Coturnix japonica: one gene and its partner. The protein of the gene in region 1 interacts with the protein of each later gene in a pairwise test. Links are inferred from orthologs where the notes say so. Each region holds a gene or a part of one and is shown on either strand. Other genes may lie near its edges.

Region 1 (4,399 bases):
CTCTAAGACTAATGTAGTAGGCTTATCTAAACCTTATCTAAATGTTTTTAATATAACTTATTTTTATTATGAGATTTACAGATGACTTCACAAGCACTGTAAGTGAGGTGACAGCTAGTGGTGGCACAGGATCAATTAGATAAAGGAATATTCGTTATGCCTCTCACAGAGCTAAAAGCATTAGTAAATGTGGATGTAGCCTTCAGTGTAACCATTCAACAGAAGAAGCTGGGAAGGCATGACTTCTTTCATTCAGATGGTGTCTGCTTTTCCTCCTGCAGAGATGGAACTGCAAGAAGTACCTGCTTCTTGAGATACAGCCACCCAAATAACCCTGCAAAGGACCACTGTGAGAAGGAAAACACAGTTCAGCCACGAGCTTTACAAAGACATAAAACTACAGGGCAAACAAATAGAGGTCACTGTTATAAAACAACATCCTCCTTGAGGAGGCTGGAGCAAAACTCCATTCATTACTTAACACTTTTGAAGATATTTGTGTTTTCCTTTAACAGTATTTTGGAGCAGATGCTCCATGTCAGGCTGTTCTCATATAGAAGCCTCAGGAGGTTTAGTCTTCTGAAGCAAAAAGCTTGTGGGAATCTATTACAATAGAAACCAACACCCTACCTTTACTTCTAGATGTATTTCCCCCATATTTACACATAGAAGATCCTAACCACAAATGCTCCTCCTGACAGTCAAACCCCTACTAAGTGTTGCTAGGTCATTTATACAGACATAAAGAAAGGGTTGGGTGGTGGACAAGCAGGCCTGAAGGAGCAGTGGGTACAACAACTAATCCGAACTAGCAGCTTCTCACTGCAAAAAGAGTTCGATCTTCCCATGTTTTGCCACTTCCAGCAAGTCAACAGCAAACTTGTAACGTTTTGGACGGCAGCAGATTTTCCACGAGTTACTGAATTAAAGTGCTGTGTAAAAAGGGAATAATTTCTATCTACAAGCAGGGATAAAAATGAAGGCAGGAGATCCCTTTTTGGCAGCAGTAAGCTACTGATGAGCTTATTTACCAGCACAATCTCAGCCTAAGACTGCTTAAACAATTTTAACATTTCCTGTTGTTGTGTTGGTTTTTTTTACCCTTCCTTAAGAGGGACAGATGGGTGAGCTAAAGAACATACAGCTGCAGGGATTTTGTCCTCTCATCCTGATAACCACCCTCACTGAGCTACTTCCTGGCCATGTGATTCACAAATCAATTCACATTCAAGCTCTTCCTCTGAAATGCTGAAAAACCTACACTGAAATGCATCACACAGACACTAAACTCACACACTGTTTGGAGACCACTGTATTCAGAAAGCCAGCACCACAAAAGAATATGTATGTAAAGGCCCCCTCTTCCAAGCCTAATGAATAAACATATGCTTTATTGATTTTTCTATCCATTATGAGCATGCGAGCACCTAATAAATTCATAAACCATCTGAGCACACAGATGTTCTGTTAGAAGCAGAGTGTCTGTACACATCGGCCTGTCCTCCCCTTCACTGCCTGCTCTGTCAACCAGAATCCCACTCTATTCAAGCTCTGAAAGGAGGAAGGCCTTTCCTACACAGGCAGTGGCAGCTGAGCTCACATAGCCAAACGCCCTTTATGGACTGATTCCTTCGGGGGGAAAAAGCAAAATTAAACTATGCTAATTAAAAGTGGCACAAACCACACACGTGGATGAAGCTGAAAATACAGTCACAAATCCCAGCATGTCTGACACGGTGGGAAGGGGACTATACAAACAGGATGACAAAGGGAAACAGAGATGAGAGGAGCACTGGACTTGCACACAAGCCTTGTCATGTTAAGCAGCACAGCAGCTGTTTCTTGGTTCGTGTTCCCTAAAACAATAAAACAGTGCTTATTACAGAGATAACTACAAAAGAAGATTCCTGCAAGGTCACATAAGGTGGCACAAACAGAATGCGCAAAGCTAGAAATGGGCTCTGCCATGAAGTCACAGCTGCTTCCTTAGAAGCAGCCCTTCAATTTGTACCTGTTCCCACCATTCCCAATTAAGAGCCTCAGTATGTGACATACCAGGGGAAAAAAACCCAAACCCAGACAGCCCAACAGCAAGATCTGCAAATGCTGCTGAATGCCACAGAGCAGAAAGGGAAAATAGGACAAGGCATTCCATCAAATTCCAGATGAGATGGATAACATCACCCACACAGTGGAAGAAATCAAGCCTAAGGGAGGCCTTGGTGTTGTGACATCTGAGGGACTGTCAGCCAGAGCTTCTGCTCTACAGCAGCGTTGATCCTGCAGCTCCTTAACTGGACCTTATACTGTAGTCTGACTGGCCTGACCACCACACAGATAAAAGAGCCATTAATCCCTTAGGATCACTGATCCACCTGCTACCTTTCTCAGCCATTCTGTTCACATTCATCCCTCACCACCCACTACCTCAGCGCTCCATCCCACACAGACACCCCAAAATGCCACCAAACCCGGGGTCACTCCTCCAACCCTCCCCCATTTACCACCAGCATGCCACCACCCCATTCACCCCCAGCACAACCGGGCTGGCCGCGTGTGGGGGGATCCCCCAGCAGCACCACCACCACTCGACCCCCTTCCTACCCACCTACAAAGCGACCTCCCTCACCATCTCCACAGCTGCAGCCTCACCACAGCCCCCCCCCACCCCCACAGCGCAACCTCCTCACAGCAGATCGCTGCCTCCACCCGCTCCCCGAGCCCTCCAGCCGTTTCTCCCGATTACCTCTTGAGGTACCGGGCGTCCTCGCCCTGCATGGCGGCAGGGACGGCAGGGGCAGGGCGCGGCCCCGCAGCGGTGCTGTTACCAGGGTGAACGCCAGCCCCGCCCCAAGGCCCCTCAGTGCGCATGCGCAGCCGCCGCCACTGCCCGCATGCGCAGTGCTGCAGCCCAGCTACGCCTCACAGCCCGAGGCGGGAGGCCGCCCGTTCATCCCTTATTTGCTTTATTAAAGTAGAAACGCTTTCTGAGAACACCCACCCTTATGCAAAAAGCGTAATTCAGGTTATTTTTTACCCTCAAAATATGGCTGGGTGTCGTTAACCTGAATACACAGAAGCACCGTGTCACCAAGCAGCTCTTCATGTGGGAGCAACACCCGCCATTTGCTATAGTAACTTCACAGTAACTTATATTTCTTCCTATTTGTTCTCTCAGTTTAAGCCAAATAATCATAGTGGTAAACCAGGTTGAGGCTCAGCCTAAGTTTGAGGTTGTTTCCATGTGATGAGCTCTGTGTGGCCTTTGGTATATCATAGATGTATAGTTTAAATGCCTTGGGGTTGCTTGAAAATTTCATTGAATTCCAGCATTATCGTACAAAAAAAAGTAGCAAAATTGTTTTCCTATAGAAAATTTATTAAAATACGTGAGGTTTTTCCCTCATTGGAAATTAAAAAGCCCACCCTGAGGTTTGTGATCTCTCCTTCAACGACTGCATCTGCCTCTTAGATAGAAGAAAGTGTAAATTTAAGGGGAAAAAAAACAAACAGTGAATTTGGGGTCATCTTCTCACATCCCCTAAAAATGAACTGTGTAAATCTCAATAATGCCTTTTATTAGCTGAAATGAATGACAGAAATCTGAAAGGATGACTTTCAGGGTAAGTAATGATGCTGTGCTACCAGCGAGGGACTGAGATGATGTTGGTCTGATGTGCTCTCCCATTGGAAGCAGTTGAGGCATGGAGGTAATAAACATTGGGAGTTGGTGATGTGGAAAGCAGGCACTGAAAGTCTACAAGATAGTTAATGCGAGTTGCTACCACTTAACTCATATCCTAAGCAAGGCTAATCTAAAAGGCATTGGAATTTATAAGATTCACCACAACTGTGCTAATTACCTTTTTTCCCCCTAAAAGGTCAACACTTTAAGAGAGAATTTTGCTGCGAGGTGCACACAACTGAACAACAGATTGTGTGTTTCCAGTATGTTCTCTATGTTTAGAACTTTTGTATCTGATTTCTGCTTGTTTTCTAATGCACGACGTGAAACTCCATCCTTATCCAAAGTTACATGCTTTCAGTTTTTGTCACTTTAATTGCACTAAGGAAAACAGCTTAAATATAAAGCAGCATACAACAGCAGATTGTTTCTCTCAATATCATCTCGTGGGTGACAGTGATGCAGATTTCTTCCATAAAATCCTGCTTCCATTAACATCAATGAGTATTTTACCATTGACCCCAATGGGGACAGAATTGTACCACTTAACATTTATTAGATGCAGCGGGCAGAAAGCAGGCTCATGGCTATAAAGGCCATGGCATTTTATGGTTCTGACTCTGCAACCACTCAAGCACATGCTTAATTTTGCCACAGTAATAAAGTTAAAGTGCCAGCTTAAGTGTTTGCAAGAAGGAGTCTCCTTTACTCTTG
Region 2 (3,713 bases), about 2.3 Mb from region 1:
AGCCTGGTGCAGCCGTGTCCTGCACCATCCAGCTGAGTGTTCAGAACCAGTGGGGGGAAAGGAGGAGAGAAACAAAGGAGCAGAGTTTAGGCCCCCCTATGAGGTAGAACAGTAGCATCACCCCCTGCTCCTGACATGATGCTGGCTTCCATTCCCAGGGCTCTTGAAGGGCAGCCACACCGTGTCCTGTATGAGTTCATCCCTGAAACTGCTGAGGAGCTGCAGGTCCTGCCAGGAAACATCGTCTTTGTCCTGAAGAAAGAGAAGGACAACTGGGCTACGGTGATGTTCAATGGGAAGGTAGGGGGTCTGCCTGGCACAAAAGGGAGATTTACAGAGGCCTGGAAGGAGTTTCTGAACCCAGTTTCCTTGCATCCCCTATTTGAGGGGCTATGAGCTGGTAGAGGCAACCTCCTGGTGTCCTGCTCCTGTTGCTCCTACCAGGCAGGGGCCAGATGTGCTGCTTTGTTTGCCTGACCACATGTGCTCAAGGCAATAAAGTGAGCTGGTTCACCCTTGCTGCCCATCTTGGGGTGCCATACAGAAATCATTCCTTCAATCTCCTGGACGGTCGACTAACACCATCTGTTCCCTTTGTCTCTTCCCTGCAGAAAGGGATCGTCCCCTGCAACTTCCTTGAGCCCATGGAGCTCCAGCACAAGCTGCACGTCCAGGTAAGGAGCCCAGGAGGAGCTGGTGGCCCCAGGAAACCACATAGATCACCCAGCAGGATCCATGCCTGCAAATCTCTCTTACAATGCTGTGGGACTCCTGGCTCATGGCTATCTCATGGCTACTGCCCTGTTCCACCCCAAATCAATGGACAGCAGGCAAAGCTTAGCCCCAGGACTCCTGCCTTGAGTAGCAGGACGGGGTCCCCAAGGCAGCAGCACCCCTGGGCTGTGCCTGCTCCCCTTAGGGATGCTGACTGCCTGCACTGTCCTTTTCACACTGGCACAGGAGGAGGCCCCTCCCGAGCCCGACATCCCTGAGCCACCCAGCAGCACCGCTCCAAGGCCCCGGCGGCCAGCACCAGGTCAGTGTATGGAGGGGAGGGATGGGGGAACTGCAGGGACAGTCTCTTGTGTACTGTGATATGGAGAACCAGGGCTGGGGGCCATCTCTGCCTCTTTTATAGCGTGGGTTTAAATCAGGAGGCAATGCTGCAGCTGCAGCACCGAGGATGGAACAACAACAAAGCTCGAGGTCCCCTTTTTGCTCTTAATTAGGGCAGCAGCTAATGGGAAAAAGGGCCTGGGGAAAACAACAGGGCAAGTGACCCAGCTTGCATAAGTCCCAGAGCACAACATGCATTACAGGCTTCTCCATACAGCAGGGCAGCTGGGAGCTACGACTGCGCTGGGAAGATGTGCTGCTGGTGCTTCTCAGCACCTGGGGTAGGGCTGGGGCCAGAAGCAACTATATGACAGAGGGCAAGATACATTGTTGTTTGTGCTTTTTGTGCTTGCAAATGCATCAGTAACATCAAAGCCCACAGAGGAACAGCATCGCACCTAAAGCTCCAATCCCTACAAACACTGAACAGGCCCTACATTGTGAGCACAGTGACCACCTGAAACAACAGCAGGCAAGGCAGAGCCCTGGCCTCTTTGTGGTTACTGAGGAACCCCACAGAAGAACCTCACTGTAGCTGATACTGATCTGTTTGGGCAACCACAGCCGGCTCCAGGGCTGGGTGGTGCTACAGATAACAGCAGGTGTTGAAGAGAAGGGCTGAGAGGATCTGGAATCACATTTATGCCCACAGCAGTAAAGCTTACACTGTGCTCCACTTGTTGACCCATCTTTTCCTTCCTCCTCAGATTTCATTCCTGTTACATCAGCGCAGCAGAGAGAAGCCAATAAGGTAAGACCTTGTGCTGCAGTGAAAAGGTAGAGCCCAGATCCACATCACATACAGCTTGGGAGAGAAGCCTGATGCCCCAATTCACCACCTGCAGGAAACCGAACCGGCTGTCCCCAAGCCCTATATTGTCAAGGTGCATTACAAATACACGGTTGCCATGCAAGTCAAACCAGACCTGTCCTACAAGGAGCTCCTGGGCCTCATTTGTGACAAGCTGGAGCTGCAACCTGAGCACACAATGCTGAGGTGAGAACTGTCTGCTGCAGGAGTCAAGTTTTCGTGGCTCTCCCCTTACCTGTGTCCTCTGGTGCCCAGGTACAAGTCTGCAGTCAGCAAAGAGCTGGTGACTCTGAGCATGCAGAACCTGGAGGCAGCTTGGAGCCACAGCAAGGATCAGTGCCTGACAGTGTGGTGTGACTGCACAGAGGTGGGTGGCAGCACCAGCCACCAGCTCTTCTACTGGTGCCGGCAAGGGGCTCAATGGCAGAGGATGAAGCCTAAGCAGAGCTTATCTGCCATGATCTGGAACAAAGCAGAAGCCGCATGGTGACTTCACCAGCTTCTTTCCTGCCCTAGGGAGAGGGATTTTTACCTGACAGCAAACCAGAGGAGCCACAGAAGGCAACAGCAGAGACAGGACCAAGCCAAGTGGTAGCACAGTACAGTTATGAGGCCACCCAACCCGAAGACCTGGAGTTTCAGGCAGGAGATGTGATACTTGTTTTATCCAAAGGTAATGGTGCTCCTGCCACTGTGGGAGAGGGGAGGCTATTGTCATGGTTTTGTAATGTTACATTGCTATTTTCCTGCAGATGATCTTAACGTTCTGATCTGAGGCCTGCCTGCAGCACAAGAGGGTAATGGTGCTCCTGCACATCCCTAGGGTGACAAAAATGGCATCAATTTTATCTTGCAGTGAACGAAGACTGGTTGGAAGGGCAATGCAATGGAAAGATCGGCATCTTCCCCTCTGCTTTTGTTCGAGATGGTAACACTAAAGACCCAGAAATGTGATTTCAGAAGAGTTTAAGGAGACTGAAAGAAATTAAGAATTCAAGTGCTGCAAATAAGAAGTTCCCATGTTAATTACTGCATCTGAAAACAGACCTAAAAGTGCAAAAGCAGGAAAATAAAACATCTTTGCAATTTATTTCATTTTCTTTCAAATTGGAAAATAAAATAAAACTTTAAACCTTCTTTCAATTTTCTCCAGAAAAATAATGTAATAATGTGTTTTTCAAAGCCCGCAGCTCAGTTACATGGGGGGAAATAAACGTAACCACACAGACCTGGATGAAGAGAACATGGTTTAATTAAAGGCAAAGCTGATTTCAGCAGCTGCAGTTCTTGCACAGACAGACAAATAACACAAAAAAAGCTTACGACACAAACCAGTTTCTGTTGGGGTCCCTTCCCTCGCTCCCCCAGGCACCGGAGGGCAGGATGGGGGTCCCAGCCCAGAGCCGGCCGTGTTCCTGACACCGGGTTCTCATGCACAAGTGGAGCGGTGCGCTGGGACCTGGCACTGCCAGGAGTGAGGTGGTGAACCTGGGTCAGCTCGCTGAGGGTGCAAGAGTCAGCGGCAGTTCAAACACTGGAATGTCGCAGCTGCCGGGGTGCACAGCTCAATACACAAACTGAGGGGGCTGGGATAGGGGTGGGGAAAGGGGGGTAGGGGAGGGGGGGGCTGAGTCAATATTAGCATTGGGTGGAAACTTCACTTTTTGGACTTTTTAAAAGGAAATACATATTCGAAATGCAACAAAAAACGGTGGTGTTGCTAAGGTGGAGAACGTAGGGGAGCTGCTCACACCCTTAGAAGGGTACTGGGCCTCAGTTTTCCCTT

The links.
Region 2: the proteins of KIFAP3 (region 1) and NCF2 interact in binary tests that used the Homo sapiens proteins (3 or more experiments, as listed by UniProt). The two-hybrid records come from large-scale screens. The link is inferred for Coturnix japonica from reciprocal best matches to the Homo sapiens genes KIFAP3 and NCF2.

Annotation. Positions count from the first base shown.
Region 1 is NC_029523.1:6,618,930-6,623,328, forward strand, and holds the start of KIFAP3 (kinesin-associated protein 3), read right to left. Parts: upstream 2,879-4,399; 5' UTR 2,872-2,878; coding exon 2,747-2,871; intron 1-2,746. UniProt on the Homo sapiens protein: Involved in tethering the chromosomes to the spindle pole and in chromosome movement. Binds to the tail domain of the KIF3A/KIF3B heterodimer to form a heterotrimeric KIF3 complex and may regulate the membrane binding of this complex.
Region 2 is NC_029523.1:4,321,357-4,325,069, forward strand, and holds the end of NCF2 (neutrophil cytosol factor 2), read left to right. Parts: intron 1-158; coding exon 159-300; intron 301-611; coding exon 612-674; intron 675-960; coding exon 961-1,036; intron 1,037-1,823; coding exon 1,824-1,867; intron 1,868-1,961; coding exon 1,962-2,113; intron 2,114-2,182; coding exon 2,183-2,294; intron 2,295-2,443; coding exon 2,444-2,600; intron 2,601-2,679; coding exon of another isoform or gene 2,680-2,702; exon of another isoform or gene 2,703-2,783; coding exon 2,784-2,881; 3' UTR 2,882-3,064; downstream 3,065-3,713. UniProt on the Homo sapiens protein: Subunit of the phagocyte NADPH oxidase complex that mediates the transfer of electrons from cytosolic NADPH to O2 to produce the superoxide anion (O2(-)).